Oryctolagus cuniculus: one gene and its partner. Each later gene encodes a partner of the first gene's protein in a complex. Links are inferred from orthologs where the notes say so. Each region holds a gene or a part of one and is shown in the gene's direction. Other genes may lie near its edges.

Evidence for each region.
Region 2: the proteins of AP3B1 (region 1) and AP3M1 are in contact, whole or in part, in a cryo-EM structure (PDB 9C5A), measured with the Homo sapiens proteins. The link is inferred for Oryctolagus cuniculus from reciprocal best matches to the Homo sapiens genes AP3B1 and AP3M1. Residues at the interface, in NP_003655.3 of Homo sapiens: Leu60, Lys64, Val67, Gly68, Ile70, Ala71, Lys72, Gly73, Ile92, Glu93, Lys96, Leu97, Val100, Arg104, Glu107, Asn128, Gln129, Leu130, Arg137, Arg143, Ser163, Pro164, Tyr165, Lys168, Asn169, His172, Gln175, Lys176, Leu202, Ser206; in NP_001307192.1 of Homo sapiens: Met1, Phe15, Leu16, Glu17, Trp20, Lys21, Ser22, Val23, Gln26, Val42, Glu43, Asn44, Val45, Pro46, Pro47, Val48, Ser50, Tyr55, Ser58, Ile59, Tyr60, Gln71, Thr72, Glu73, Val74, Pro75, Pro76, Leu77, Phe78, Ile80.

Annotation. Positions count from the first base shown.
Region 1 is NC_091445.1:2,243,955-2,260,650, reverse strand, and holds part of AP3B1 (AP-3 complex subunit beta-1), read left to right. Parts: intron 1-8,125; coding exon 8,126-8,221; intron 8,222-8,806; coding exon 8,807-8,967; intron 8,968-10,861; coding exon 10,862-10,928; intron 10,929-16,696. UniProt on the Homo sapiens protein: Subunit of non-clathrin- and clathrin-associated adaptor protein complex 3 (AP-3) that plays a role in protein sorting in the late-Golgi/trans-Golgi network (TGN) and/or endosomes.
Region 2 is NC_091446.1:65,181,233-65,197,928, reverse strand, and holds the end of AP3M1 (AP-3 complex subunit mu-1), read left to right. Parts: intron 1-1,459; 5' UTR 1,460-1,463; coding exon 1,464-1,736; intron 1,737-3,218; coding exon 3,219-3,390; intron 3,391-5,128; coding exon 5,129-5,266; intron 5,267-7,954; coding exon 7,955-8,040; intron 8,041-9,144; coding exon 9,145-9,278; intron 9,279-10,498; coding exon 10,499-10,706; intron 10,707-12,731; coding exon 12,732-12,876; intron 12,877-13,340; coding exon 13,341-13,441; 3' UTR 13,442-16,498; downstream 16,499-16,696. UniProt on the Homo sapiens protein: Part of the AP-3 complex, an adaptor-related complex which is not clathrin-associated. The complex is associated with the Golgi region as well as more peripheral structures.

The DNA of each region.
Region 1 (16,696 bases):
GGGGAGAAAGTCATCTCTCCTCAATTTGATAGATGCTTCTAAAACTGGTCTAAGAATGTTTGGAATTTGTTTCCACTCAAGTCTAACACGTTGCACACAGTTTGACCCATTTGACTTTCACTTTACAAACTAGTATCATCCAGTTCTGTAATTCCTGCCTAAGACCACTTGGTTGCAAGTGATAATTTAAAAGAGCAGTGTTTTCACAGATATATTTACTTTGGGATTAAGCAGATTGTAAATTTTGAGAAGGACTGATTTGACTAAAAGAATGCATAAAATCTGTGAGTGTAGATGCCAAGTGCTTTGATTTTCTGTAGAAGCAAATCTCATGTTGAATTTTTAGTAACAGTATCTCAGTGATGTGCTTCTCAAGTAAGATGATAATCCAATTTGGTTTATGAGTTAGTTTCTAAGAATTATAAAGCTGTTTGTTGGACCTAGTGCGTTGACTGGACCATAAGACTTAGTAAGGGTTAAGTGATTTAAAATATTCTTTTATAAACTGATATAGTATCAAATATTTTTTTCCCGCCTATAGAGATAGTTTATATTTAAGAAATTTTATTCTTTAAATGGTTTAATTTACACTAGATTTTCAGATGCTGGGGGCAGGGGGCTGGGGGCAGGGGGCTGGGGGCGAAGGCCATCTCTTTGTCGGGGACACTTTGATGGAGAAGTGTGAGGACTGCTCTCACACAGCAGATACGTCATACTAGGGAGCTTGTCCTCTGTCTTGGGCTGATTCCTGGTTCTGCCACGTGCTTGCTCTGAGACCAAAGGTGAGATACAAACTTCTGTGTTTTCCTTTCCTACTATTTTTTTTAAGATGGTGTTAAACTGTTGTATTTACAAAAATGGCACAAATTGAAGTCATCAGTCCACGTGCATGTGTACTTCTTTCACACCTTCAACAACACAAGATGTATTAGCGTTATGGAACGGAATAAGAATACTAACTGCGATGGAACCTGCTGAGCATTGGATGAGTTATGTAGGTTAACCAGCATGGGCAAATATTGCCCAAGGGAGAGTCTTTTAAAGCTGACGCAGGGTTAAGGCCATTCCAGGTCAAGCCCAGAGACGCAGACCTTTTGGAATCCCATCTAGTTGTCTTTGAATTACACGAACTCTTTTCCAGCTTGTCTGAAACTTCTTTTTTACAAAATCCAAAAAGAAAATACAGAAGAAACCAGTTCAGTAAAGATTATGTTAAATAAGAGTAACATACCAAGCTATTATTAAAATGAAGTAACTAAAGTTAGAACCATTAAGACCATCTAGAGGCAGGTGCTGTGGTGTAGCAAATAAAGCCGCCTGCCGTGCCAGCATCCCATATGAGTGCTGGTTTAAGTCCCAGCTGCTCCAATTCTGATCCTACTCTCTGCTATGGCCTGGGAAAGCAGAAGATGGCCCAAGTCCTTGAGCCCCTGCACCTGCGTGGGAGAGACAGAAAAAGCTCCTGGTCCTGGCTTTGGATCAGTGTAGCTCCTGCCGTTGTGGCCATCTGGGGAGTAAACCAGCGGATGGAAGACTCTCTCTCTCTCTCTCTCCCTCTCCCTCCCTCCCTCTCCCCCTCTCTCCCCCTCTCCCCCTCTCCCTTTCCCTCTCCTTTCCCCTCTCCCTTTTCCTCTCTCCCTCTGTTTCTGCCTCTCCTCCTCTCTGTAACTCTGACTTTCAAATAAATAAATAAATCTAAAAAAAAAAAAGTCAAACGTGTTGTGTATTGGGACCAGTCCTACATAATGACATAGGTAGGACGTACAGTTATTTTCAAGTAGATTATGCTGCCTTGTCGTGTCCTTTTTTCTTAGTACACTGTTAGCCAAAAACTCTGCACATGTATATTCCCTTATAGTGGCAGTACGCACCCTGCTACCTGCAAAGCCGGCAGTCTCAAATGACTTAGTGAATAAAAAGAAATAAAAAGTGAATGAGTATTATATTAAGGAAAAATAATGGGAATTAGAAAATTCATGCAATTCTGCTCTTTTAATCAGCCAGCCGACTTGCTAGCAACAGGAGGTGGTTTCCTTGAAGATCCTGTGGCGGGAGCACGTGGCCACCAGTGACCTCTGCTTTATCAGGGGCTGCAGTAGGAAGTCACTTGTTCTTCTTTTTTGCTTTTAGCCATGTTGTAGTCCCCAGAGTGGCATTATTTTTGCCCTTTCTGTCATTTCCTTAAGAAACCTGGCTTTTGTCCCAGATGACACTTGCCTGTCAGTTGGCTTCTTCATCTTTCTCTGCACTTTCCATCTTCCGTGTCCTCCTGCTTCTTTGTGGATTCCCTGTGGGGACTTCCGTGAACCCAGTGCTCCCTCTAACCATGCTTGTCCTGCTTTTCTGTTCCCCGCCCTCCACTTTCTTAGGCAGAATTTCCTTTCGTAGTCTATGTTCCTTAACTAATTTTAATACTGACTAAATGGTAAGCATAGTCTTAGATATAAAAGGCCAAAGAACTTTTCCATGTGAAAGATCAGTGAGACAACAAAGCTTAAATCTAATGCACAATTCTGGATTAGGGAAAAATATAGACATATTATTGGGAAATTTTAAATATACAATATCATGTATTTGATAACTGTGATACTTGAAAATTGAAGGTATATAGGCCTGCCATTAATAACTTTGGACCTTTCAGTAGGTCATGTTGAAGGATGATGGAGACCGCTCTGAGTGCCTGAAATAGTAAGACAGTAAATTTGTTACATTCAATAGCTGGGAAGAGTTACGCTTCTTATGCAGTTTCCTTGGGCAAAGAGATGGCCAACCTTGCGGTGGAGTTTTGGGAAAGGTGGACTTGGAGGAACTCATGGACGTTCAGGGTCCTGACTGGGTGAATATCTGCAGATGTGTGGCCACTTGGATGAGTCTGTTGTTGATTGATGGGCACCCAGATACGTGTTTCTTGGAGTGAGTTTGTTCTTGACTGGCTACCTTTTACAGGCTTCGGCTGTCTCAGGCTGGTTGACTTGGAAAAGCCTGTTAATTCAGCTGAATTTTGTTGATCTATTGAATTGAACAGCTTTAAAGTAGTTCTGGTAACTGTGTATTGCCAAGGCTACAGATATAGTCTTTGGTAGAATATGATAATTTAAAAATATTGTCTACTCAAAATTGTTTATAATGAAGAAATTTAAAATATTGTTAAAGTCAGAGAAAGTACTATTGTTTTGTGCTGGAGGATTCTTGGAAAGATGAGGTTTACCCCTAAAGTAAAAATATCTTTATTTTTTTTAAATTTATTTGAAAGTCAGAGTTACACAGAGAGAGGAGAGGCAGAGAGCGAGAGAGAGAGAGAGAGAGAGGTCTGCCATCCGCTGGTTCACTCCTCAATTGGCCGCAACAGCTGGAGCTGCGCCAATCCGAAGCCAGGAGCTTCTTCCTGGTCTCCCTCGTGGGTGCAGGGCCCCAAGGACCGGGCCATCCTCTGCTGCTTTCCCAGGCCACAGCTTTGGAAGTGGAGCAGCCGGGTTTCTAACTGGCGGCTGCATGGGACTCTGACGCCTCAAGCCAGGGCGTTAACCCGCTGTGCCACAGCACCGGCTCCATCTTTACTGTTTTATCCGCAGAAAATTAATATTCTTTGGGAAAAATCAGGTAGTATAGAACGATGCAGAGAGTGAAAGTCACTAATTACTGTTGGTCAGACATGGTCTCTGTTAGCATTTACCAGGTAGATTCTCTCCTTTTATGCTTGCTCGCTTTGAATCCGGGTGCCTCCACCTGATGAGTGTTCACCGTGGTCGTTACTGAACCTCTCTGAGCCTCCATTTTCTCATCTGCAGAATGGGAATCACACTGTTTATTGAGTCGTGACAGTGAAATGAATTAATGTGAATAAAATTTAGAATGTTCCAGGTGTGTGGTTAGTGCTATATGGTTACCTCCTCTGATTCAGTTTTACTTCCCGTGGTTTCAATTACCTGTGATCAATTGAAAAGAGAAAATTCTAGAAACAGTTCATACGTTTCAAAGTGCATGTCATTCTGAGGAGCATGGTGAAATCCTCTCCCTTCATCTAGGCTGTGAGTTACCCCGTGTCCAGTGTGTCCACTTCAGACATGCTGCCTGCCCGTTAGTCACTTTGGTAGCCATCTTGATTATCTGATCTGCTGTCCCAGCATGGCTGCTGGTCTTTAACTCTTACTTTGCTTAATAATGACCCCAAAGTCAGGAATGCTGATGCTGGTAATTCAGATAAGCTAAAGAGAAACTGTCAAGTACTTTTTTTAAAAGTGAAAGGTGAGAGTCCAGTAAGATATTTGGAGGGAGAGAGACCATAGCCATGTAACTTTTATTGTAATATAGTGAAAATTTTTCTATATATTAGCTATTGTTATTTTTTTTAAAGATTTATTTATTTGGAGAGGTAGAGTTAGAGAGAGAGAGGGAGAGACAGAGAGAAAGGTCTTCCATCCACTGGTTCACTTCTCGAATGGCTACGACGGCCGAAGCTCAGATGATCCGAAGCCAGGAGCCAGTAGCTTCCTCCGGGTCTCCCATGTGGGTGCAGGGGTCCAAGCACTTGGGCCATCTTCCACTGCTTTCCTAGACCATTGCAGAGAGCTGGATGGGAAGTGGAGCCGCCGAGACTTGAACCAGTACCCATATGGGATGCTGGCACTGCTGGCTGTGGCGTAACCTACTATACCATAACGCCAGCCCCTATTGTTACTCTCTGAACTGTGCCTGATTTATAAGTTAAATTTTATCATATGTTTGAATTTATAGGAAAAAACATTGTGTGTGTGTGTGTGAACGTATATGAATCAGTATCATGTCCATAGTGAGGCATCCTCTGCTGCTATTGGAACATCTGCCTTACAGATACAGGAGGTGGGGACTGCCGTGTGTACCTGTTTGCCATTTTTACAATATCGTATCTATTTTAAGATACTTGTTTTCAATTTTAGAGTTTCTGTAGGTAGGATTTATCTTAACATATGGTGTTGACTTACACTGGGCAGGGCTTCTTCATTCTTTGTTACTTTGTGGTACATAAAACAATGGCATAGCTTGAAACATGTTGCCTGCCATGGCCTGCAGCCTGTTCGCCTCTGCCCTGGAGCCTGCTCACCTGTGTCCTGGTAACTGCGGGCGTGGGCTGTGCAGATGCTGCGCACAGGACCCACTCTGCTCTTAGTGCATAAATTCACAGAGAAACATGAATGGATAACAACAGAAAATGGTATTGGAGCAGTGGGAATCAGCAATTTTGCACAGGAAGCCTTAGGAGATGCTTTTTGTAGTCTGCCTGAAGTTGGGACAAAATTGAACAAACAAGGAAGATGGTCTGATATGAGGCACATCATTTTTTTCTGAGCCACAGTGAGTTTGGTGCTTTGGAAAGTGTGAAAACTGCTAGTGAACTCTATTCTCCTCCACCAGGAGAAGTAACTGAAATTAATGAAACCCTTGCAGAAAACCCAGGACTCGGCAACAAATCTAGTTATGAAGATGGGTGGCTGATCAAGAGGACACTGAGTAACCCTTCAGAACCAGACGTACTAATGAGTGAAGAAGCCTATGAGAAACACATAAAAGCTATTGAGGAGTGAAAGTGGAACCCTTGCATGAGCTAATATGGAGTAACTCAGTCCACACAGTTTTATCTTAAATTAGTGCTGGACAGGACTTAACATAGCAACTACTTTCAATACTACTTTCAACTCTGCTACTGGAAGAAAATATGCCCTAACTTTGTAGTGATTGCAGATGAACATAATACGTATCTTTTCACAGTACCTTGTGATTTTTATACTCGGCTCTAGGCACTAATTCAGAATCATGAAGTTATCTGTGCTAAAAACTAGGTATACAAATAATGTAATGCAAGGATAACATTGTTATCTTAAGCCTTACATAATATTGTAACTTGCTTATACCCATCCCTGGATTGGGGTCAAAATATGTGATGATCTTTCCATTGGAAGTAACTGGAAATGCACAAGTTTTAGTTGTACAGTGCCAGAGAAAGAACAATACTATCTTAATTTTGCGATATACTGCGTGTGCTGGTGCTGTTTTATACAGTGAAGCAGCAGCTCTATAGCAAATAAGAAACATAATAAAATTTTCAACTTCCTCATTAAAAAAAAAAGAAAAACTGATTTTGTATGTTAGACTGAATAAAATACAGTGTGCGCATCTGTTGATTCAAATACAAATGAGATCATAGGATTCACACTATAAACCAGTAAAAATTGTTAAGGGGATATATTTTGGGTATCATATACATGTTTATTGAACTCGTTATAGTGGCTGCATGGTTTAATGTTATGTAGGTATAATTTATTTTACTCTGTTAATATTTTATTATTTAATATTTGCTTTTGTGGAAAATTTGGTAAGTGGAATTAGCGTGACGTGGTGTAACTCAGGAGTGTAACCTAATGGAAATTGAGACAGAAAGTGTAAGTTATATTTGGGGACTGCTTTTGTAAATAGGAAAGAAGTTTGGTGATAGATTATAAGCTGTATTGAGATTTTCCTTTTATGATTCTGTGGAGTCATTCAACACTGAAGACTAATTAGGAATAAATTATTTCGTTTGTTTCACCTCTGTGTCCATGTAATATAAATGAATGAATTATTAACTTTAAATGGTTATGTTTAGCATCTCTATTAATAATGATGAAGATGTAGAAAGTATACTCACTAGGTTTGTTCTTAGAACTTGTAAAATTAAGGTCTAAGGTTTTCTTAACAAAATAACATGGTGCATTGAATTTGGTATTTAAAACTTCTGTTGATAAATGTAAGATTTTGCCCCTCACTTAAATTTTTAAAATCCCCTGAGAAAGTCGCTCAAGTATGGTTTGGAAAAATACAGAGCTTAAGCCAGGAATTAGTTGTATCATAAACACACAGAACAAGAGTTGTGTGTGTCAGTGAAGTGCCTTGTTGGAAGCTGTCACTGGTCTGTTCTGTTCAGGCCATTTGTAGTGTGGAGGGCCGCAGCCGAAGGAATGCAGACTAGAGTGAGAGCAGGTTTGTGAGAGAGCAGTAGAGTGGTGAAAGGGCTCAGAATCCTGTGTGTGCAGAAATCAGACTGTGGAGGCAGAAGGGGCCTGGCAGCTGCCTGTGAAGCAGTGTAGACGTTGGTTGGTTTGGCATAACCCAGGGTGGCACTCTTTTTCCTCTCCAGCCATTTCCAACTAGTCTCCCTTCCATTTTTTATGTTTTTTTGAACATTCCAGAAAATTTTAGGGTGTACTATGCCAGTATATATGCAAAAAGCAATCAGGTAGTATCTAGGATTTGTGAAAAGGAAGCAATTGATGAACAACAACTAAAATTCCATTTTTATTTATTTTTTTCTGTTCATAATTTTGTGTTAAGCCTAATAATTAAATTGGCTTTAAAAACTTTTCAGAACACAAGTCCAGGCTTTTGGAGTTTCTGTTACATTAAATTAGTGTTACTGACATATGAGATTGCTTCAAAAAGTTTGTGGAAATGGATTTAAAAGATAAGTTTATAGTGGTAAAAATGTTTTGAAATCCAGGCATACAAGAAGTCTCAGAGTTCATAAAAATGCATTTTAGGAAAAAAATGCTTGAGTTTCAAAAACTTTTGTAGCAAAATATGCTTATCTTTGAATTATATTTTCCCATGAGCTTTTTGAAGTACCCACTGTACATTGTTAATTCTGAACTGGAAATCTTGAATAATGTGTAATACGGTGTGAGTATTCCCGTTAGGTCAGAGACGGGACTCCAGAATCTTTGGGGCAAGAAGGAAGTATAAGTCCCCTTACTATGTGACTGCTGGACAGGGCTCACGTTCGTTCTTCCTTACTGATTGTGAAAATACTTCCCACTTCAGTTACTGTTCTAATATTCTTGTGAATTTTGCTCAGGGAATTTCTTAAATTTCCTTTTAGAGGGAGGGACACTTGATAGAATGCTGCTGTTATGGATTAGATGATTAAAATGCTTACTTCATAAGCTTTTTGGTTGCCAAAATATTATCTTTATTTTATAATCTGAACTATGACCAGGTATACTTAATATACTAGAGAAATAATCGAGAGTATATTTTGGTGTAGAACCTACTGATTTTTAAATTTTCCCTCCGGCTATGAGTAAATGACTTTCAAAAACGTTTTTTTTTAAACCAGATAAAGAAGTTGGTGTATGTTTACCTGGTCCGGTACGCCGAGGAGCAGCAGGACCTGGCTCTCTTATCCATCAGCACTTTTCAGCGGGCTCTGAAGGTAAATAATGGAGTCAGCAGGCAGATAGTTACGGTTTCTGGGCACTTGAAGAACTGGAGCAGTAATCTTCTAAATAGCACAGGACTGTCTCGAAAGAGTTAAAAGGTCTGCCCTAGTACCTGGTCAGCGCCATTGGAAAGTGATTTGTATAGCCACCTGGAACCTTGCCTTGTCTGCTGTAGCTTCTGTGATGTTTCTGTATGTCTGGTGAAAACATTAGCATGCATCAAAAAACTGTTCATCATAGCAGCTAATTGAAAAAAGTGTTCAAAGAGGGAGCATAAGACCTTCTCAAAGATAAAATTTATGACCTGCAACATTTTATTATTATGAAATCCTAGAAGTCTGCCTCATGTAATAATAATTTATCAATTTCAATTATAACCATTATTTTTCTTTAAAATATTCATAGAAATAAACGTTTATTTACTTGTTTTTACCCACTTCCATATCCTGGGTGTTCACTTCAAGTAGCTTTCTCCTGTCTTTATATTGCACCCTATAAGCACCTATTAATTGTCATAAAGATGCCTTTGAAATATTTGCAAACTTAAAATTCTGATGAGTATTTTTGCGCTTCGTTAGGACCCAAACCAGCTAATCCGTGCCAGTGCTTTGAGAGTTCTGTCAAGCATCAGAGTGCCAATCATTGTGCCTATCATGATGCTCGCTATCAAGGACGCTTCTGCCGACTTGTCACCGTATGTTAGGAAGAACGCAGCCCACGCAATACAGAAGCTGTACAGGTAGGTGTTTTTGATAATACTGAAAATCTGTAATGTTGCACTCTTACCCAGAAGGTGATGGACCACAGAGACTTATTTTATGAGCTCTTAAAAGTAAATCAAATGATTAATATTTGCCTCAGACATCTTTATGAATTTTTAATTTTGGTTACAGAAACCCTATGCAAGCTTTTAATTTGTGAACTAATTAGGACCTGTGATAAATGGGACCTGTGATAGATTTTATTAGCTTGAAAATAATCAGAATTTGAATTCTCATTTATATAGTCTGTCCCTTGTACACACGTCTCAGTTATTAGAATACTGAGATTTCTTTCTGTATTATTGAGTAGAATGTTAATTGCATTATCTTCTCAGCTTGTCCCTTGTTCCATCTTTGTTCCTTCTGTTCTTCTCCTTGTCTCGTTCTTTCCCAGAGCTATTTGTTAAATGATTTTTGAAAAGTGATCTATGAGACTGTAGTAGCACACTGTGTGTGTGTGATAGTGTGTCCACAGCGCTGCGTCAGCCAGATTTATGCCAACAATAGCAGTTGTGACACTTAAGAAAAGTATATTTTCCATTTGCAGAAGAAAATCAATCATATGCCAAATAATTAAGGCAAGCTATAATTGACCAAGATATTAGCATATGATAAAATTTATCTTCAAAAAGTTTGTGGGAAATACATACTATTTTTAAACTTTTCCCACCCATTTTTTCAAGTGCCATTGTGTGTTGTATGCAAAAACATACTAATGATACCTTTGGAAGAACAGAAGCCATCGTGTTACCGGTTTGGCCAGAAAGTAAAGATGCAGTGATGTGGGATTAGTTAGGAAAGACTTCTTGGAGAAGGCGACTGAAACTGGAATTTGAAAGAAGTTGAAAGACCTGAAGCTTCAGATAATTATAATGGCTAATAATATAATTATATAATGCCTATAAAAGGTAAAAACTCCTATTTTTAAAGTAACTGTCCACATTTATATTGCTTTTCACTCTTGAGCTTTCTCATTATAAACTTGGGAAAGATCAAAGCTCACTATGATGGCTTCAAAATCCTTTTGTCACTGTGCTGCAGGTTCTCTCTCTGGCCTTGAGTCCTGCTGGTAGCCAGGAATTCATGATCTAGTAACACAATACAGTCCATTCTTACCTCTTATTTTTCTGGTTCTTATAGGGCAGGTTTTAAAAACCTGTCTTCCCACTGGTATGATAATACATTCTTATTTGGAAATTCCCTGTATTTGTTTTAAGCAGTTATGTATCCATAGTAAACATGATGGCTATTGTTTTTAACCCAGTCGAAGCAACTTGTGCTCTACCTACTTGAAATTACTTCCTTGGGTTTTCCAACTAGTTTGAGAAGTGATTTGGGGGATCAGTGTTGTGGCACAGCTGCCTGCTGCAACGCTGGCATCCTGTCCTGGAAGGGCTGTTTTGAATCCCAGCTGCTCCGTTTCCCATCCACCTCCCTGCACATGACCTGGGAAGCAGCCGAGGATGGCCCGCGTGCTTGGGCCCCTGCACCCATGTGGCTCCTGGCTTCTGCCTGGCCCACATCCTGCCATTGCAGCCATCTAGGAAGTGAACCAGTGAAGAGAAGACCTCTCTTTATCTCACTCTGTGTCTCTAACTCTGCCTTTCAAACAGATTAAGTCTTTTTTCTTAAAAGTGAAGTCTTATTTAAACACTTATCATGTATACTTGACTTAGTTAATGTGATGAAGTTTAGGACACGTTTATGAGAAAAACTTTCTATTTTACTATAAATTTCTTTTCTGTTTCTATGTTGAAATAATTTTTCCTTCCCTCCCTTCTTTTAAGATTTTTTAGCATCATGAACCATGAGCATCTTTTAAAACCAGAATTAAGGAAAGAAATTGATAAAGGTTTTCTTTTACTGTTTCAGTCTTGATCCAGAGCAAAAGGAAATGTTAATTGAAGTAATTGAAAAGCTTTTGAAAGATAAAAGCACAGTAAGTAAAATCTTTTGTTATTAAAATAGTTTTTTATTTACATAGTATCATTTACCATTGGATATTTTATGTAATTAATTTTATTTCAAACCTCAGTTGTGGAGAGAGAAAAACAGATCCCATCTGCTAAATCACTCCTCAAATGCCTGCGACAGCTGGGGCCTAAGATGGGAGCTGGGAATGCAGTCTAGGTCTCCAAGGGGCAACAGGAGGCCATCACTTGAGAGGTTACCTGCTGCCTCCCAGCGTCTGTAGTGGCAGGAGGCGGGGTTCAGGAGCTGGAACCAGTCTGGCGTCTTAATTGCTGGACCAAATGCCCACTCCAAAGTGGTATGAGCATTAATGGAGCTTCTAAGAATTTTAAAATCTTCGAAGATCAAAGGTTTCCATATAATAAAGATTGCATTGTAAAGTTAAGTTTGTTACTTGTTTATTTCTTTTTTTTATTTTTATTTTTTTTTATTTTTATTTTTTTTGACAGGCAGAGTGGACAGTGAGAGAGAGAGACAGAGAGAAAGGTCTTCCCTTTGCCACTGGTTCACCCTCCAATGGCCGCTGCGGCCAGCGCACCGCGCTGATCCGATGGCAGGAGCCAGGTGCCTCTCCCGGTCTCCCATGCGGGTGCAGGGCCCAAGCACTTGGGCCATCCTCCACTGCACTCCCTGGCCAGCAGAGAGCTGGCCTGGAGGAGGGGCAACCGGGACAGAATCCGGCACCCTAACCGGGACCAGAACCCGGGCTGCCGGCGCTGCAAGGCGGAGGATTAGCCCAGTGAACCATGGCGCCGGCCTGTTTGTTTCTTTTTTAAGAATTATTTTATTTATTTGAAAGAGAGTTATGGAGAGAGGTAGAGTCAGAGAGAGATAAAGTGGTCTTCCATTCTGCTGGTTCACTCCCCAAATGACCACAATGGACAGAGCTGAGCTGATTGGAAGCCAGGAGCCAGGAGCTTCTTCCGGGTCTCCCATGCGGGTGCAGGGGCCCAGGGAGATGGGCCATCTTCCACTACTTTTCCAGGCCATAGCAGAACACTGGATTGGAAGTGGAGCAGCTGGGACTTGAACTGGTGGCCTAAGGGGATGCTGGTGCTACAGGCTGGGGTTTTAACCTGCTACACCACAGCTCTGACTCCTACATGTTTGTTGATCAGAGTCTGAAGTTGGGGAAAATCTTTTCTTTAACTGAAGACTCTTGTCGACCGCTTATAGAATCTAAGTTTATTTCAAACAATAGTGTATTTGGATTTTAAAAGGACTTGGGAAAACCATTATCTTAAAATGAAGCATTAAATGTTAAAGGGATTTTGGAAAATTTGAGAATTGGCTTTTAGTGTTACAAATGTGTTTTTAGGAAATATTAAAATATTTTCATACATACTAGGCTGCTTTATTGGCTACAAAGAATGATCTTAATGAAGTGATCATCTTTTGGTAGTGTATGGGTCGTGTTTTGTGTCTTATGCCTACTGGTTCTAGCCTTATTGAGAGTGGGATAGTGAAGTTTGTCTTTCCCATTCTGTCATTATTTGCTTCATATCTTCAGGAGCTCTGATATTTAGTGCATATGTGTTTTTTCCATTTTGTTATTATAAAATGTTCTTCTATCTCTAGAAACACTTTTTGCTTAGACTTTTTTTGTGTGTGTTTGGTGTTAGTACAGCCATTCCAACTTTCTGTGGTTGCTGTTTTTAGTACATACGTTTTCTTGCCTTTTTTAAAAAAATTTTTAGAGATTTATTTATTTTACTTAAGAGGCAGAGTCACACAGAGAGGAAGAGACAGAGGGCGAGGTCTTCTATTCACTGGTTCACTTCCCAAATGGCCGCAGCAACCCAAGTTGAGCTCATCTGCATCCAGGAGCTAGGAGCTTCTTCTGGGTCTCTGCTGCAGATGCAGGGGCCCGAGGACTTGGGCCACCACCTTCCACTGCTTTCCCAGGCCATCAGGGAGCTAGATCGGCAGTGGGGCAGCTGGGATATGAACCAGTGCCCATATAGGATGCTTGCGCTGCATGCAGATGCTTAACCCACTACACCACAGTGCCAGCCCCATAGGTTTGTTTTTTTTTTTGGACAGGCAGAGTGGACAGTGAGAGAGAAAGACAGCGAGAAGGGTCTTCCTTTGCCATTGGTTCACCCTCCAATGGTTGCCGCGGCCTGCGCGCTGCAGCCAGCACACCGCGCTGATCCGAAGCCAGGAGCCAGGTGCTTCTCCTGGTCTCCCATGGGGTGCAGGGCCCAAGGACTTGGGCCATCCTCCACTGCCCTCCCTGGCCACAGCAGAGAGCTGGCCTGGAAGAGGGGCAACTGGGACAGAATCCGGCACCCTGACCGGGACTAGAACCCCGTGTGCCGGCGCCGCAAGGTTGTGGGGAGCAACTGAGACTAGACTAAATTACTGGAACTAGGACTAATTCTGTGCATCTGCTATCCCACAATATGGCGCTGAGAGAGAGAGCAAACAACCTCTACGCAGCTGCCTCTTGCCAATTTGACTGATAAGCTGCAGGAGCTGATCCTGCTCCTGATTGGAGGAGAGCAGCGTGCTCGGCGTGTGGGTAGCAGAGTTGGGATTGGTGGAAGAGGACTATAAAGGAGGAGAGAGACAACATGCACCAGGAACATCTGAAGGAACACCTGAGCAGCCCCCGAGAGAGCCGGCCGGCGGTGTGCCGCTCCCCCGTGGAAGTGGGGAAAGTGGCAGGGGGAACTGCCCTTCCACGGAGGTGGAGGGGTCGGCAGCCAACCCGGGAAGAACCAGCAGCAAACCCGGGAAGGGCTGAGCAGATGAAAGAACAGCACAGGGTCTAGTGTCGTTCCTCCGCAAATGGGGGAGCGACACAAGGTGGAGGATTAGCCTAGTGAGCCGCAGCGCCAGCCCCCATAGGTTTTTATTTTTAATCTTTTTGTATTTTTGTATATAATATATGTCTCCAGTCGATGGCATATGGTTTTTATCTGGAATGGCATTATGTTCTTTTGACTGAGTTTTTTTTTTTTCTTTGGCAGCCAGAGTTAGACAGTGAGAGAGAGAGAGGGGGGGGGGGGAGAAAGGTCTTCCTTTTTCTGTTGGTTCATCCCCCCATGTGGCTGCATGGCCGGTGGCGCTGCGCCGATCCGAAGCCAGGAGCCAGGTGCTTCCTCCTGGTCTCCCATGGGGTGCAGGGCCCAAGCACTTGGGCCATCCTCCACTGCAATCCCGGGCCACAGCAGAGAGCTGGACTGGAAGGGGGCAACCGGGACAGAATCTTGTGCCCTGACTGGGACTAGAACCTGTGGTGCCAGTGCCGCAGGCGGAGGATTAGCCTAGTGAACCGCGGCACTGGCCCTTGACTGAGTTTTTTAATCCATTCACACTTAACGTTATTAATATGGTTGGATTTTTTTTTTTTTTTTTTTTTTTGACAGGCAGAGTGGACAGTGAGAGAGAGAGACAGAGAGAAAGGTCTTCCTTTTGCCGTTGGTTCACCCTCCAATGGCCGCCGCGGCCGGCGCGCTGCAGCCGGCGCACCGCGCTAATCCGATGGCAGGAGCCAGGAGCCAGGTGCTTTTCCTGGTCTCCCATGGGGTGCAGGGCCCAAGCACCTGGGCCATCCTCCACTGCACTCCCTGGCCACAGCAGAGGGCTGGCCTGGAAGAGGGGCAACCGGGACAGAATCCGGCGCCCCGACCGGGACTAGAACCCGGTGTGCCGGCGCCGCTAGGCGGAGGATTAGCCTAGTGAGCCGCGGCGCCGGCCAATATGGTTGGATTTTTAGCCGTTTTGTTTGTTTATATGTGTCTCAAGTGTTCTTTTGTTTCTCATTACTCCAGTAAGTTTTTTTTTTTTTTTTTTTGAAGTGAGGAGAGTCACTAAATGAATACGACTGCTAAACTTTTTAAATCTTTTAGTTATTTTTTACTACTTAAAAAATACTGTTGTTATTCATGGAAATTATACTTGGAGTTTTCATTCCTAAGCCTCTCGGTGATTTTTTTGAATCTATAGTGTAGCAGAAATGTTCACTGTCTTCTTCTATGCATTATTGTCATAATTTTGAAGATAATCAGATATAGATTGACTCAATAATTGACGATAGAGGAAAGAAATTTGATTCCTCTTTGTCTTTTTTATTTGACAGGCATACTGTCTGCTGCTAAGACCCAGATATACAAAGTTGATCTTATTGCTATTGGGGTTAACTTGATTTTAATAATTAAAGAAATCATTTGTTTTATGTGGAAGATATTTGCTAGGGACTGTGGAGAATAAGATCCATGAGAAACATTCCTTATTTTGGGGGGGGAGGTGTAGGCAGAGTTAGAGAGAGAGAAAGGTCTTCTTTTTCCGTTGGTTCACCCCCCAAGTGGCTGCTACTGCTGACGCACTGTGCCGATCCGAAGCTAGGAGCCAGGTGCTTCCTCCTGGTCTCCCATGGGGTGCAGGGCCCAAGCACTTGGGCCATCCTCCACTGCAATCCCGGGCCACAGCAGAGAGCTGGACTGGAAGAGGAGCAACTGGGACAGAATCCGGCACCCCATCTGGGACTAGAACCTAGGGTACCGGCACCGCAGGCAGAGGATTAGCCCATTGAGCCGTGGCACCGGCACCATTCCTTATTTTAAGATGGTTTACCATCATTTCTTCTACATTGAAGATGAAAACAGATTCGTTAGATGGCCTGGGAATGAAATCTCCATATCTAATGTGTGTGTATCTTCCCAGATATAGCATGTTACAGGTGAAAAGTATAGTCTTTGTAATTAGACAGAATTGGGATCATGGCTAAACTTCTTAAGATAGCAACATATTAAGCCTTCATGACTCAGTTTCCAAATGTGTAGGACTTAACCATTTCTAAAGTTGCTCTTTGGATTGAAGGAGCCATTTTATATAAAATAAAATATGAGGTGATAATAAACATTAAAAATTAGAAATAAGTGTCTCCAGGGAATGTGAATTTAAAAACACACACATAACAGAAATTTGCACTGATACTTGTAACTTCATCCGGCAGCCTGCATTTTCGTTTCTTCATTCCTCTCCAGTAGTAAGAAACGTGGCTCCCATGACGCTCAGTGTGTTTCCCTTGTTGCCTGATCCCTGATGCAGAAGAAAGACTGTCTTAAAGTGTGAGCCTGTGCTTCTGTGGGAGCGGTAGAGGGCAGGTAACTTAGGGTGTTGCCTAATCCCTGATGCAGAAGGAAGACTGCTTTGAAGTGTGAGCCTGTGCTTCTGTGGGAGCGGTAGAGTGCAGGTAACAGGGTAGGGTTGTTTGTGTCTGTAGTCTCATTTTTTCCTGTTATAGTAAATCAGATTTTTTAAACTTGCTGTGTTGACAAATGAGAAGACTGTGCTTTTCTGCATGGTGACTTGCATGTGTTCCTTCACCAAATTATTTATTTGAGTTAGTTTCCTCGTTCATTCTCCTTGTTTCTTTATTTTTGTATGGAATGAATTATATCTTCAACTAGAGATGGCTTTACTTCCTCTTGTCTAATTATGTTGGCAGATATCTTCAGTACATTGTTCCGTAGGAGTGGATATGGTGGACACCCTTACCATTTTTCAGTGTATTGCAAATACTTTTGTCTGAATTACTAAAGACACTTGGCTTTGAGGAGGTTTTTTTTTTTTTTTTTTTTTTTTTTTTTTTCCTTATTTTGAAACAGTAGTTTTGCAGGGTCAGAGTTGGTTGACATGGGTCAGTTTTTTCTTTGTATGTAATCAGCCCTTTCAAAATGTTGATTTAGAACTTGTATTATTTTTGGCATTCTCTTCAGTTGTTAT
Region 2 (16,696 bases), on another chromosome or scaffold:
GCTACACCACAGCACCAGCCCCCTCATTTGGGCATTTTAACTGGTAGACTAAATGCCTGACCCTGAAATTATTTCTTTAATTTTATTTTCATGCTATTTGTAGCTAATGAATAGCAATACAGTTCGTTTTTTTGGATTCATTGTCATTCTGCAATCTTGCTGAACTCATCTTTTAGCTCTACTAGTTTTTTGTGTCTAATCCTTAGGATTTTCTATATAAAAGATTGTATATTCTGCAAATACAGTTTTGCTCTTTCCTTTTCAATTTGAGAGCCTTTTTTTTTTCTTTTTCTTACTTAATTGCCCTGGCTAGAACCATGTTGAATAAAAATGGTGAGAGTGGACAATCTATATTTGTTCTTTTTTTTTTTTTTTTTTTTTTTTTTTGACAGGCAGAGTGGACAGTGAGAGAGAGACAGAGAGAAAGGTCTTCCTTTGCCGTTGGTTCACCCTCCAATGGCCGCCGCAGCCAGTGCACTGCGGCCGGCGCACCGTGCTGATCCGATGGCAGGAGCCAGGTACTTTTCCTGGTCTCCCATGGGGTGCAGGGCCCAAGCCCTTGGGCCATCCTCCACTGCACTCCCGGGCCACAGCAGAGAGCTGGCCTGGAAGAGGGGCAACCGGGACAGAATCCAGCGCCCCGACCAGGACTAGAACCCGGTGTGCCGGCGCCGCAAGGCGGAGGATTAGCCTAGTGAGCCGCGGCGCCGGCCTATATTTGTTCTTTTACTATTAAATGTGATATTAGTTGTGAGATTCTCGTGGATGTCTTTATCAGGTTAGGGAAGTTTATCTTCCTGGTTCAAGCACTTGTTTTGTTTTCATGAAAAGGTCTTAGATTTTGTCAATGCTTTTTCTTTAATTTTTGAAATGACTATTTGTTTTGGTACTTGTATTAATATTCCATGTTACTTTGATTTGCTTATTTGAACCAACTTTTCCCTCTTGAAATAAATATCACTTGGTGAGGGAATGTAGCCCTTTTTTAATATGTTACCAGATTCAGTTTTTTAGTGTTTTTGTCAGGATTTTTGTATCAATATTCCTTAAAAAATAAAAGATTTATTTATTTGAAAGGAAGAGTTACAGAGAGAAGGAGAGAAAGGTCTTCTATCCACTGATTCACTTCCCATGGCTGCGGGGGTCAAAAACTTCTTGTCAGTCTCCCATGTGAATGACAGAGGCCCACACACTTGGGCCATCTTCGGCTGCTTTTCCCAGGCCATCAGCAGGGTGCTGGATCAGAAGTGGAACAGCTGGGACATGAACCAGCGCCCACTTGAGATGGCAGTGTTGCATGCGGTGGCTTAACTCTACACCACAGTGCCAGCCACTCTGTCAGTGTTCTTAAATGAAAATAGTCTGTAGTTTCTTATATTGCTTTGTAAGGTTTTGTATCAGGGTAATACATGGGCACTTTGTGACATTTAATAAAATTAAACCTTTTTCCCCCCCACAGAAAAATGATCCACAGTCTATTTCTCATTAACTGTTCCGGTGACATATTTCTGGAGAAGCACTGGAAGAGTGTTGTGAGCCAGTCTGTCTGTGATTATTTCTTTGAAGCTCAGGAGAAAGCTGCTGATGTTGAAAATGTGCCACCTGTCATTTCAACACCTCACCATTACCTCATCAGTATCTACCGGGACAAGCTCTTCTTTGTGTCTGTCATACAGACTGAAGTGCCACCTCTCTTTGTAATTGAGTTCCTGCATCGAGTTGCTGACACTTTCCAGGTTGGTTATGCATAAAACCGTTCTAATTTAAGTTGCACAAGTTAGCTGGAAGTGGGGCTTGTGATTAATTTGCAGCTTTTAGTGTATACTCTTTGTTTCTCACTTCTTAAACCTTTTTCTATAGAGTGTACAGCGTACACACGGCTACTCTGTTTGCTGTTTTTTAGGTATATTAAAAATTATGTCATCAGGCAATAATAGGGCCCTCCAAATAAAATTCTCTGGATATTCCCAAGATTTTTGTTGATTATGAACTCTTCTGTATTTACAATCTATATTTTTTCTTGTCTTGCTGTGTATACCAAATAATTTAAAACTTATCCATGTGTGCTTAGGAGTAGTTAATCAGGACAAATGAAGTTTTTGTGGTGTTGTTTTTCAATGCTTATTTTTTTCATCTACTTGAAAGGCAGAGCAACAGAGAGAGCGAGCATGCTTCTTCTATCCACTGGTTCACTCCCCAAATGCCTGTTACAGCTGGGCCAGGCTGAAGGCAGGAGCCAGGAACTCTATCTGGGTCTCCCACGTAGAAGGAAGGGAAGCACTTGCTATTATCCTCTGCCTCCTAGCATGCGGTATTAGGAAGCTGGATTGGAAATGGAGGAGCAGAGCTGGAACCAGCACTGTGGTACAGGATGCAAGCGTTCCTAAGCAGCACTAAGCAGCCTACTCCAGCACTTAACACCTGCCCAGGACAAGTGAAGTTTCTTGCTTACATGCCAGTTTAACATTTCTTTCTTTTTCTTTCTTTTTTGTTTAAGATTTATTCATGGGGCCAGTGCTGTGAAGGTCCCGGCCTGTGGCACCAGTTCGAGTCCTGGCTGCTACACTTCCAATCCTGCTCTCTGCCCAGGGAGATCCAGCAGGGAACTGGATTGCAAGTGAAGCAGCCAGAACTCGAACAGGAGCTGTAACTGTGGCTTAACCTGCTATGCCACAGCACAGGCCCCCAGTTTAACATTTCAGTACTTTTTGGTATAATGTATTAGGAATCAAGTTCATTCCAAAAACACTTTAGGGAGCAGGCATTTGCAGTTTAACATGCCAGTTTACACTTCATTCAACATCAGAGTTTAATTTCCATCTCCCGATTTCAGCTTCCCAATAATACAGACCCAGGGAGGCAGCAATGATGGCTTAATAATTGAGTTCCTAAAACCCATGTGAGAAACCTGGATTGAGTTCTTGGCTCTTGACTTAACCTTGACCCAGCCATGGACATTGTAGGCATTTGGGGATTGAACTAGTGCGTGGGAACTCTGTCTCTCTGTGTATGTGTGTCTGTCTGTCTCTGAAATAAATAATAAATTACAAAAATTTTGAGGAGTAGTGCTAGGACTAGAGGGGTTTCTTCCCTCTTGCTTACAGATTTTCAACATGTTAAAAAGTAAGTTACTTCACTTTAAGTTTATTCTGAGAAAAAGTATGTAGCAAATCTTCCTTTCTGCTTTTCATTGTGCAATATTCTATATATTTTGTTAGGACTATTTTGGTGAGTGTTCAGAGGCTGCAATCAAGGATAACGTGGTCATAGTATATGAGCTCTTGGAAGAAATGTTAGACAATGGATTTCCACTGGCTACTGAATCTAACATTTTGAAAGAACTGATTAAGCCACCAACAATTCTACGTTCTGTTGTCAATTCTATTACAGGTAAGGTGAAAACATATTCCTCTAGCAGCTACAATTTTATAAACAACTTATTGGTACTTATGATCTGACAAATTATTAAAGTAGTAAGATTTGGCCAGAATTAGTTACTGGTATGCACTAAGTAAGAGGATTGGATAAATTATCCTAGGTAGTGTTAAAGAAGTCACTCTATGAAGCCACTGTGTGCCTAAAATTTAAACTCCTGTGTAACACTAAGATTTTAGTAAACAGTTTCATACTTTGCAGATAATGTAGTAACACTGGAAATACTCATTCTAAAATTATTAAACAGGTTAAAAAAACAGCTCAAGACCATTAAAAGCTACTCTTAATTATATATTGACATTCTCAAAGACAAAAATCTAAAATGCTGACAGTAACTATCTCAAGCTAAGGAAATACAGAATATATTTTTGCTTCATAATTTCCAACCTTCCAAAATAAACATATTTTTAATTAGAAAAATGTTACTATGTAGAATGTAAAAATTTAACATGTATCCATAGGGCAATATATTGTAAAGTCCAAGAGGATAGTTCAGTATATGAAGTAATCCTTGCTGGACTGTAATAAGTAGCCTTCAGGCAGGGCCCTGGACAATCAGTAGAGTTAGAAAAAAAGCATTCTCCATAGGTATGAGGAAAAATACACATGAAGTGAAAACCTTGAGTTGTATTAACCCCTTTAATAGAAGCCGAGCTGTTTTTCAGATGCGTAGTGAGGGAAGTAATTTTAACAGCTGAGAAAGTCCTTGAATGTTAGGCTAAATATTTAGCTTTTATTGTAAACATGGAAGATTTTAAGCAGGAAAACAACATGATGAAAGCTATGGCTTTCAAAAATTCTTCTGGAAAGCAACAGGTTGGAGGCAGGAACACCAATCATAAATGGATTGCAAAATTGTATATACAGTATGAATACAAGTGCATTCAAAACAAAATTAACAAAATAGAACAAAATAGTAAATGCAACCTACATGGGAAAATGCTTAAAAACATAATGGTAATTGTACCTTGTTCGTAAGAAGATAGATTTTTTTTAAACCACTTTATGAACTATGCCCCTCCCTTCTTGGCCAGAGGACAGTTAAGCATGTACTTGGATTAGAAGTGTAAAGTAACCAAAATGTTAAGTAAGTCAAAGCACGTTTTTTTGGACAATCACACAAGTGTTTGTGATTTACCATGCAATTAGATATTGAAGTTTAACCATATTGCAGCTAAATCAGTGTGCTGACCTGAAAATGGGAAAAGGCCAGAGCATGTTCTTCATCCAGTTTCTCCACTGAGGCCTTTTTGGCAGCATCTGGTATACAATTAAGCTGAATACCAAAGGGCCTATTTATCACTTTGTATTCTCAGTGGAGACATTTTATCAGCAAAAGATTTTGAAACAAACAACCTCTTTTCATCAGTGGCAGCAGGATGAGAGTCTGTTGTTGGGCCACTGGAATTAGTTATTGTTTCTATTAACACACAGAAAGCAAAAGATAAGTAAATGAATTTAACCTGGTTTGTCAGAGAACCACATGGCCTGTTTCTGTCTTTTAGAAGTTTGATCATATTGGTTATAGATACATCTTTGACATTTCTGGAGACCATCACAGTTTCAGTGAGAAAAACACAGCATTTGAAGAAGCCACTTACTTCTTTTTTTTTTTTAATTTTGTTTTCTGATGATAGCTTTTCTGATAACCATTTTATATATCAGCTTTGCTTTCTTCTTTTACATTTCCCAGGCAGTAGTAATGTTGGGGACACACTTCCCACTGGGCAGCTGTCCAATATCCCATGGCGCCGGGCAGGGGTAAAGTACACAAACAACGAAGCCTATTTTGATGTCGTTGAAGAAATAGATGCAATTATAGACAAATCAGGTAATTTGTGCATGAGGTCCAATTTAGGGAAAAAACAATTCAGCCGACATAGGCTGAAAAGAAAATTAAAATCCTTTGGCAGTGTAATTTCAGTAGAAAGGCATTTATTTTCTAAGGATTTAGAACTCTGTTTATTTTGCCCAGAGGTTACATATAATTTTCATAACCACTAGTTGAAGTCTGCCAAACATTCGTAAATTAGAAATCATCATGCCTTACTTACAGATTAATTATTACTCTGTATACTTCTCTTGCTTGTTATTTATTTGTAACACTTACTGCATATCTATCATATACCATACTTTTACTACTATTTTATATGCCGTACTACTAGCAGAGGGCTGTGTCTGACTATTTTTTAGCCAGACCAGGTGATGGTACTCTATCACAATCATAAAATTTAATTATTAAAAATATTCATAATATAACTAGGGTGACTGTAGTTCACAAAATTGTATTATATACCATATGAAGAACTGGAAAAGAAGAGCTGATAGGCACCAAACAAAACGAAAAGGAGGCCGGCGCCGCAGCTCACTAGGCTAATCCTCCGCCTTGCAGCGCCGGCACACCGGGTTCTAGTCCCGGTCGGGGCGCCGGATTCTGTCCCGGTTGCCCCTCTTCCAGGCCAGCTCTCTGCTGTGGCCAGGGAGTGCAGTGGAGGATGGCCCAAGTGCTTGGGCCCTGCACCCCATGGGAGACCAGGAGAAGCACCTGGCTCCTGCCATTGGATCAGCGCGGTGCGCCGGCCGCAGCGCACCGGCCGCAGCGGCCATTGGAGGGTGAACCAACGGCAAAAGGAAGACCTTTCTCTCTGTCTCTCTCTCACTGTCCACTCTGCCTGTCAAAAAAAAAAAAAAAAAAAAAAAAAAAGGAAGTAAACGCTTAGTTGCCTAGCTCAATCAATCCAGGCTCTGTATATATGTTGAAAGTATACCCCAAAGCAATAGAAGATGGCCCAAGTCCTTGGGTCCCTGCACCTGCATGAAAGACCCAGAAGAAACTCCTGACTCCTGGCTTCAGATTGGTGTAGCTCTGGCTGTTGCAGCCATCTGGGGAGTTAACCAGCAGATGGAAGACCTCTCTCTCTCTCTCCCTCTCCCCCTCTCTCTGCCTCTCTGTAACTCAGCCTTCAAATAAATAAATTAATCTTAAAAAAAAAGAAAGAAAGAAAAAAGAATACCCATAAAATGTGCAAGTATTAAATGTTTATCAAAAAATTAGTAAAATTATAAAGTATTTTTAAAAATCTAGTCCCATCATCACATTTTATATGTAAACTGAGGCTGGGGCTGGCACTGCAATGTAGTATGTTAAGCATCTGCCTGCAGCACTGGCATCCCATATAGGCGCCAGTTTGAGTTCCTGCTCCATTTCTGATCCAGCTCCCTGCTGATGGCCTGGGAAGGCAGAGATGGCCCAAGTTTTTGGGTCCCTGCACCCACATAGGAGATGCTGAAGAAGCTCCTGGCTCCTGACTTCTGGCTTCGGCCTGGCTTAGTCTCAGCCGTTGCAGCCATAAGAAAGAAAGGAAGAGCCTTAGAAAGGTTGAGTGATCCACTAAAGGTTGTATTTGATATGTGATGATAATTAGTGAATTTTAGCCAATATCTTTTTTTTAATAGTAATTGATAAAGGGAAAGGAATCCTTCCTTTCAGCTTTGCTTTTCTTTTTTTACAGATTTGTTTATTTATTTGAAAGAGTTACACAGAGAGAGGAGACAGAGAAAGAGATTTTTCCATCCACTGGTTCACTCCCCAGTTGGCCTCAACGGCCAGAGCTGCGCCAATCCGAAGCCAGGAGCTTCTTCCAGTTCTCGCACGCAGGTGCAGGTGTCCTAGGACTTGGGCCATCTACTGCCTTCCCAGGCCATAGCACGGAGTTGGTTTGAAGTGGAGCAGCCGGGTCTCGAACCAGCGCCCATATGGAATGCCAGTTCTTCAGGCCAGGGCGTTAACCTGCTATGCCACAGCACCGGCCCCTAGCCAATATCTTTTCTTCAGTGATTACTCTTTCCACTGTAGCATTCTGTCTACAGAAAAATAGATCATAGCTTCTATTTTTCTTTTTTTAAATGTTTATTTATTTATTTGGTAAGTCAGAGTTAGGGTGGTGAGGGTGGTTCACTCTGTAGATAGCTGCAACAGCAGGACTGTGTCAGCTCAAATCCAGGAGCTGGGAGCTTCATCGTGTCACCCATGTGGGTGGCAGGGACCCAGATGGAAAGTGGAGCAGCTAGAACACAACCTGGCACACGTATGGAGTGCTGGCATTGCAGGTGGCAGCGTTACCCACTACATCACAATGCTTATCCCAAGTGGCTCCTATTTCTTAAAAGTTAGGAAGTAGTTTGCTGCATTTCCTAATAAATTTCCCTCATTTTTCAAGTCTGTTGTAACAATTTAAATTCATATCAGTAGTCTTAGAAGGTGAACTCTCTAAAGGAGATAGGTTTGATTTTCATTAGCATTATCATATTCCAACCAGAGTTAGCTACAGACCATGGCACTAAATGAAAAGGCTTTCTGAACTGGTGTAATATATCCCCTGTCCACTGACCTGTTAATCGAGGTGCAAAGCTTCAGCAAGTCTGACACCCAGGGGGTGGCTCCATTACTCCAGATATAGTGATAGCTCTGCTAAAGACTCAGATTCCATTGATACTATCAATCTTTTTCTTTCTTCAGGATCTACAGTCTTTGCAGAAATTCAGGGGGTCATTGATGCTTGCATTAAGCTATCAGGAATGCCCGATCTCTCCCTATCTTTCATGGTAAGTTTTGTTTTCTTGTTTGCAGCAAAGGGCTACATTTATTCCTCCAGGTGGAAATTTCCAACTCATAATAGCATACATATGAAATACTCAATGAAGCGATAAGTACTACAACTAAATATTAAATGAGGTGATAAGTACTTTAGATAAGTTTGTATCTAAGAGTGTAAAGGATCATCTGAGAAGTATTGCTAGCATAGCAGCTTTCAGGACAGTAGTTTACATGATGAGCCTGGCCTTTATGAAAAGGCTGAGAAGTCTTTGCTTAGATGTGCTAAAAGTGACTTAAAAGTTAGCTGGCAAATCTCTACTTTAGTTTTCACTGAATAATTATCTGCTTTACTAACAGGAAAGGGCACTGGACTTTGTCTTATCATTTTGGACTTAGCATACCACACTGCAAAGAACAATGAAAAGAATTGAGTTATGGTGCTCTTTTACCAATTTGTCCTGAACCTCAGTTTTTTTACCTATGCAATGGAACTAATATTATTCATCTTTGCTCCCTGGTAGTTATTGAAATTCAAATAATGTATATAAAATACTTGCAAATTGTGAAACGTTTAAGGTTCTGTGGATGTCATAATAACTAATAAATGCTCACATGACTTTTATCTTTTTGACACATAATAACATAGTTAAGGGCTACAGCGTGATAATACATTTACATAAACAGTGTATAATGATCAAATCAGTATAATTAGCATTTCTATCTTCTTAAATGTTTGTCATTCTTGCTATTGGGAACTTTCATATTCCTCTCTTCTAGTTCTTCATAAATCACAAATTGCTGTAGTCAGCCTACTGTGCTAGAACTGCAGAACTTACTCCTTCTAACTGTATTAGGAGATCCATCTTAACAGCCTCCCTCTGTTCTCCACCACCTTACTCCATCTACCTCTGGTAATCACTGTAATTTTTGGTGAGATCGACTTTAGCTTCTGCATATAAGTGAGAACATGTGGTATTTGTCTTTCTGTGCCTGGTTTATTTCATTCATGACTGCTTTATCTTTAGAAAAAATACTAATATCTCATAATACTGAACAGAGTTACCATAGCTGGTATACTTTATGAACCTGGCTGTCTTGTGTTTTCCTGGCAGAACCCCAGGCTTCTGGATGATGTCAGCTTCCATCCCTGCATCCGGTTCAAACGCTGGGAATCTGAAAGAGTTTTGTCATTTATTCCTCCAGATGGAAATTTCCGACTCATATCCTACCGTGTCAGCTCACAAAAGTATGTTGATGTGTCAGCCAGAATCTTCCATCATGTATCAGTGTACTGAATAGAACCTACTTTGCCTTGTTTCATTCTACACTTGGCTACTTGAGTTCATCATGGTTGACTTAATCACAACTCAACAAGATACCCAAAGAGAGGCCGGCGCCGCGGCTCACTAGGCTAATCCTCCGCCTTGCGGCACTGGCACACCGGGTTCTAGTCCCAGTCAGGGCGCCGGATTCTGTCCCGGATACCCCTCTTCCAGGCCAGCTCTCTGCTGTGGCCAGGGAGTGCAGTGGAGGATGGCCCAAGTGCTTGGGCCCTGCACCCCATGGGAGACCAGGAGAAGTACCTGGCTCCTGCCATCGCATCAGCGCGGTGCGCCGGCCGCAGCTTACTGACTGCGGTGGCCATTGGAAGGTGAACCAACGGCAAAGGAAGACCTTTCTCTCTGTCTCTCTCTCTCACTGTCCACTCTGCCTGTCAAAAAAAAAAAAAAAAAAAAAAAAAAGATACCCCAAGAGAACTGATGAGAATACATGCCTGAAATAATCTGTACCTTGAATCTAAGAGTACATAGTAGCAGTAAATAAGACCATAGCAAAGCCTATGCCTGAGAACAAGCATTTTGGACTATGCATAACCAGAACCCGGAACTGGTACCATAATTTTATCAAAGTCTGTAGACATTTGGCCAACAGAAGGAGACAGGCCTTACCTTTAGCTCTGCAGACTTGCCCAACATGCCCACTTCAAGTCACTCTCTGCTGCCGTGAGTTTCAAAGGAACAATTCAGCATCGTAGCTTATATAGCTATTTTTTTCCTTGAAAGGATCTGAGGGTATTTGGGTGGTATCATCAAGACAGGACTGAAAAGCAGAGAAATGTTTCTTGGCTCTCATCATTTATATTAAATTCTAAATTACCTTTCAGTGGGATCTTTTTAAAAACTAGAACCATTTGTCTCAATTGCTTACACTGTTATTAGGCTTCAGAGTTGGGTTCTGATCTGTATACCTCCTGCTGAGAAATGATAGATTTCCTAGACCACAGTGGTACCAGAATGTGCTATACCCAGCTTTCCTTTGTGCAGATGCTAAAGACGCAGTTTCAGAAATATGGATCCCTACTGTGGAGTAGACGCAGGGTAGAATACTCTGGACTGGTATTTTCAGGGCAGCTCTGAAGGTATCCTAACCATTAATTGTGTATGTATATGCTTTTGTGTCTTTTAGTCTAGTGGCAATACCAGTGTATGTGAAACATAATATCAGCTTCAAGGAGAACAGTTCCTGTGGCAGATTTGATGTAACGATTGGACCAAAGCAGAATATGGGCAAAACTGTTGAAGGAATTACAGTGACAGTTCACATGCCAAAAGTTGTGCTGAATATGAACCTGACACCAACACAAGGCAGCTATACCTTTGATCCAGTCACCAAGGTACAGCCACTTCAGATCAAGAGTGAGCAAGTGTTTCCTGAAATCTCTTTTGTGATTTGGGGGAAAGAGTAGAGGGGAGGTTTACCACCTTGTTTAAAACTAAAGTTCCTATCCAAACCAAACAAAGGTCATACTAGGCTGTATTTCTGCCACTGGCTGTAGAGAGAATCCCACGTCTGCCCCTGAGTAGATAAACAGAGACGTGAAACTGACTCTATCTTCTTTCAAAGTACCTTTACTCATCTGTGATAACCCAAAGACTGTCTCTACTAATAAGAATGTAAAGGCTTTTTTAAAACAATTTATTTATTTATTTTGAAAGGCAGAATTACAGAGAGGCAAAGGCAGAGAGGTCTTCCATCCGCTGATTCACTTTCCAGATGGCTGCCATGGCCAGGCCTGGGCCAGTCTGAAGCCAGGAGCCAGGAGCTTCTTCCAGGTCTCCCACGTAGGTGCAGGGGCCCAAGGACTTGGGCCATCTTGTACTGCTTTCCCAGGCCATAGCAGGGAGCTGAATTGGAAGTGGAGCAGCTGGGATTTGAACCAGTGTCTGTATGGCATGCCAGCGCTGCAGGTGGCAGCTTTACCTGCTACGCGACAGTGCTGGCCCCAGTAAAGGCTTTTTTAAGTGTTTTGTGGATATATGAAGATACTATAATCTATTGTTAGATCTTTCTGTAGAAACCAACCATTATTTTGTTCCTTTTTTTTAAGGTTTATTTACTTATTTATTTGAAAGGCAAAACAGCAGAGAGAGGGGGTAGAGAGAGATCTTCCACCTGCTGGTTCACTTCTCAAAAGGTCCTGCCAAAACCAGGAGCCAGGAACTCCATCCTGGTCTCAAAAATGGTTGAGGGACCCAAGGACTTGAATCGTCTTCTGCTGCCTTGCCAGCCTCATTAAATACGCAAGCTGGATCAGAAGCAGAGCAGCCAGGACTCAAACCAGCACTCCACATGGGATGCCAGCATTAAAAGCAGTGGCTTAATCCATTAGGCCACAATGCCAGCCAGCCCCCTTTTAAAAGTTCTTCATTTCATATTCTTCCACAGGAGACATTGTTCTGCCTATTTACACATGCCTATAGCGGAAGATTATGAAGCAACTACAGCATAGTCATTGAACTGCCTGATAAAAAGGCTTTTTAAAGATGTATTTATTTATTTGAAACTCAGAGTTACATAGAGGGAGAGATAGATCTTCCACCCACTGGTTCATTCCAAGGGCTGGGCCAGGCAGGAGCCAGGAGCTTCCTCCAGGTTTTTTACATGGTTACAGGGCCCCAAATACTTTGGTTATCTTCCATTGCTTTCTCAGGTGCATTAGCAGGAAGCTGGATTGAAAATGGAGCATCCAGGACTTGAACTGGTGCCCATATCAGATGCCTGCACCACAGGTAGTGGCTTAACCCACTGTGCCACAGCGCCAGCCCCAAAAAGGCATATTCTTTAAAAAGATGTATTTATGTATTTATTTGAAAGGCAGAGTGACACAGAGCTTCCATCCTTTGATGCACTTTGATATGGGATGCTGGTGTTGGAATTAGCAGCTGAACCCACTCACGGTACCCAAAGACATTTTTTTTTTTTAATTAAAAGTCATAAACTGTTAAACATTATCTAACTCCATCCCAGGAATTCAAAGAAGCTCCTCAGAAACAACGCGGGACTGGGAAAGGGGGGCTCCGGATCTCGTGCCCTTCCAGTGTAGCTTCAAACAGAACAGCTTCGCTTTCTCTTCTGCATCGAGCTTCCATGCTTAAGATTTCACTTGAACTTCTACAGCTAAAAATTTTCAAATACCAACTTAGATGATTCTCCCTTTACAGAAAAAGAAACAGGCTCAGAGAGAAGCAGTGAAGATGGTATAATAAAAAGAACATTTAAAATCAGATGGGATTTGTCAACTTCCAACTTGCCTTTTATTAGCGTTAAGCAAGGAATTTGACATCTGGAACCTTAAGTTCCTCATTTGCAAATAGAAAACAAGTTCAAGTCACATGCTTGTTTTTTATTTCTTTTTAAGGTACTAACATGGGATGTGGGAAAAATTACTCCACAAAAGCTCCCAAGTCTTAAGGGATTGGTAAATTTACAGTCAGGAGCACCTAAGCCAGAAGAGAATCCCAGCCTCAACATACAGTTCAAGATTCAGCAACTTGCTATTTCAGGTAAAAGTGTTTGACTTTGTTTAAGGGTAACTAAGTTTCACTGAGCCCAGTTATTGGATAGTTAAAAAAGTAACAAACATTTCCTGCTATAGAAAAAGCAACAGCTCCAGTTTGCCTTTTAGGCTGTGCTGTAGGGCCAGCCTCCCTGGCATCAGTTGTGGAGAGCATTTATTTCGCTCAAGTTCCCTTAACCCCTGCCTTCGTTCACCCACCAGAAAAGAAGTCAGTCATAGTCACAGAAAGTAGAATTCCCTGCCTACATGGCAATCAACTAAAACCATAACCCCACAGTTCAATAATTTGTGAATGTAGGTGGGACATTTCCTGATAGTGGATGGAGTAGACGCTGCTTCAGGTCAGAGTTACTGTATAGGCTCATTGCTTAAATACACATTTTATCTATATAGTATTGGTTCGTATAACTGAGATGTAGTAATTTATTCCTTTCATTCTTTTTGACACAGGCCTGAAAGTAAATCGCTTGGACATGTATGGGGAGAAATATAAGCCATTTAAAGGAGTCAAATATGTCACGAAAGCTGGAAAGTTCCAAGTGAGGACATGAGAAGAGGCCAGAAGTAATCAAGATCAGTTTCTTTTCCAAGTGTCATTACAATTTATTACTGTTAGATACCAAGTGGGTGGGAATACATATTCTAGTTAAAGCATTTGTGTAGAGCTACACACCACTAACAAAGTTGCTTAGTACTCAATGTAGGGTTCTTAAGGAGCTTTAAGCTAAGGAGACTTTTCTAATAACTTAGCTTATTTTCTATCTTTTCACTTGGGAAGATTTTGAAGGTGATTTCTTCCACAGGGGAAGGGGGTATCAGCTGGATGCTGCACATTGTGACAGTAAAGGCAGAAGGCTACAGTGATAACCTATCTCCTAAAACAAGTGAACTGGTTTCTAGTCCAGGAGGAGCTGTCTTAATCTGCAACGTGACATGTCAGGTGTAGCTACATATCATAGCCTCAGATCTTAGCCATCCCAAATCAGTAGCTGTCCCAACAGAGGAAACTCCCCCCACGCCCCGACGTTTACAGAAACTGCCTCTTCAAGTGTTTGCCTTATTCAGCTTTTCACTTGTGCCATTAAGCAAGCACTGTAGCAGAAGCCACTTCCACATGGCCCTGGCAGGGAGCACTGCTGCTCCATGCTCCATCCTCACTGTACTTGGTATTGTATTTTTTATAAATAAGATTTTTATGTAAAGCTCAGATTTTGATTTACAGGGACCTTGCTGCAGTAACTATCATCTCAATTTTGTGCCACTGGTTCAGCTGTTAGCACAGGAAAAATCATTTGTATGATGGGGCAAATGCTTTATTAAGATAATAAAAGGGAACACTACTTCTCCTTTTAGGAAGTTGTTGCAAGCACAAGTGTTTGCAGTTTTAAGCAAATTAAAGTAAAGAGAAACTTAAACAAAACCTTTGCCATCTTCCTGTTTTATAAAGCTTATCCAATACCCCTTAAACCGAAGTAGTCTGCCTCCTGCCCCCGTTCAGCAAAAGGAAGAAAATGAACCTGCCTCAATTTTATTAATCTTTTTTTATCCTTTTTGTTATTTTTAAGGGGCTGAATTTGCCTGCATCCCTTGTCTTTTAGGGGAACTCTCTTATTGCAGTATGTATTTACCAAGCCTGTAATCATAGATTGCTTCCTGCAACTACTGTCATAATTCTTACTGAAGTACTTCAGTGTCTACACTGTACTAACAAAGTACCTGGAAGTATATTACATTGAGGCAGAAACAAAATCCTCAGTAACCCTGACAATATCATATTGATCAGCATGGTTGGAAAGTCAATCTCAACTTCCTTGGCTTGGTCATCCTGCCCAGTTATTTTGCCTCATTAAATATAAAGAAGTAGAGAAAGGTTGAAAGTTGAAAGTACTTGGTCTTCTTGTTTCCTGCTTGTTCTTACTAATGCTACTAGTTTCCTTCTCCTTGTGGTTTTATTCTCTTGTTCTTCTCAGCGTCTGGCTCTTCCATTTAAAATGCTAAGCATAGCCCTTGACCTCATTCCTGTTTATGGTGTCAAAGGCTAGTGGTTGGTGCTGGTATTGGGAGTCCACTATACAGTGCGTCCTTACCTGTCCAGGGCATCCAGCCTGCTCTTTATCTAATAAAAAGGCTACTTTTGGCAACCAATCCCAGGTGGGCAGCTAAAGTCACATGTTACCAAATATATAACTCCCTTTACCTCAAGTCAGTTGCCCAGCTCCCTATCCTTTCATCTGTAATGTCTTAACTCTTCAGGTTTCTTACCTCAAAATATTCCAGTGTTCCTCCTGTACTGTCTCCTCTTGAATCCAAGCAGAATGTATGCCAAGTTTCTTGCCTTTAGCAATTTCTGTTAAGACATCCAAGTACACTGTTTTCCTCTTAGAATTAAATTATTTATTAAATTTATAGAATCCAATAACTGCTTTCTCTAGCTCTGGCTATACTGTCAATAAAAAAAAATCAAAGCAAGAACTTGATTTTTTTTTTTTTTTTTTAATCAGACATTCTCAGATGGGCAAGGCCAAACATGATCAGATTTTCTTACAAATCCTCACCTAAGATTTGAGTACAGCTGCAAAGGCCACTTGCAGATGCTCCTCTTCTAACCAGAGTATGCTAACAGCCACTCATAGTTTTAAGTTTGCCTCTTCTGGCTGAAGACTGAGCGATAACCTCCCCTACTACCACGTCCTACCAATATCAAAGATCCATAAATACTTAATAGTATTAGAATAGTTTTCAAGCATAGAATTCCAGCTAATCAGAATATTCCTTTTTTAGAGTATATCCCAAGAACAAATGAAGTAGATGTAGTTGCAGTCATTTTATTCAGAGAGTTCATTTGATGGGTTCATTAAGTGGTGCTGCAAATAAGTTTTGGAAGATGCTGGTCTCATTGTCCTTAGAGACACCTGGTTTCCAAAAACAACTATAGAGCAGCAGGAAGGCAGCACAGTGAGCACAGTGGTGGCTAGAGAAACGATGGCCGTTTTAGAGACTGCAGAGCTAACTCAGTAGTCTTGGACATTCTCCTTTAACTCAAGCAGGCTGGAATCTCCCTGTATGATTGGAAACTATTCTAAGTTAGCAGCATCAAATAGCATCCCTTCATGATCTTTACCCTTTAAAAAAATGCCTCAGAAAATCAGACAAAAACACTGATGTCCCAACTCTATTCCTAGAATGTGCCCCTACAATTTTGGTGCTTCCTCAAGCAAGAAAAAGGGATGTATCCCCAAAGCTAGCTCTGCCTCAAAGCCTAGTGGCTCTGGCAAACCTACTATCCCATACTAGGCTTTGGAGTGTAAAAAAATGAGTGTGTGGTACTCCTGCATGCTTAACAATCTCAGCTTTTTAGGGGACACTGACTGATAGTCTCCAAACAAATAGCTAGAATCTTCTAAAATAAAGACAGACTGCTTTAATCAGAAAGTATTCATGTCATCTGGCCACTTTCTGTCCACTGTTGACCTCCATCACAGCACCAACCACTAGTACATAATCCCAAACAGTCTTTTATCACACAAATCCTTGTTAAATATATACACTACTGCAATCCCTACTTCTGACACAACATTTGTATTTAATAAAAATCTTTAGTTATCAGATCTTGAGGATTAGTTTCATTGGCTGTTCTGCAGAAGAGAAACTTGACCCTTAAAGCTCTTGGTAAAATGACATAGTCATCCTTTAAAGCATTGTTTATATAAATGCATTTTATTGTCTTTAACAGAACAAAAGAAGAGGCAGAAAATATTTGCATATAATAAATCCTAGTTTATAAATGTAGGTTTTTTTAGTGGTAA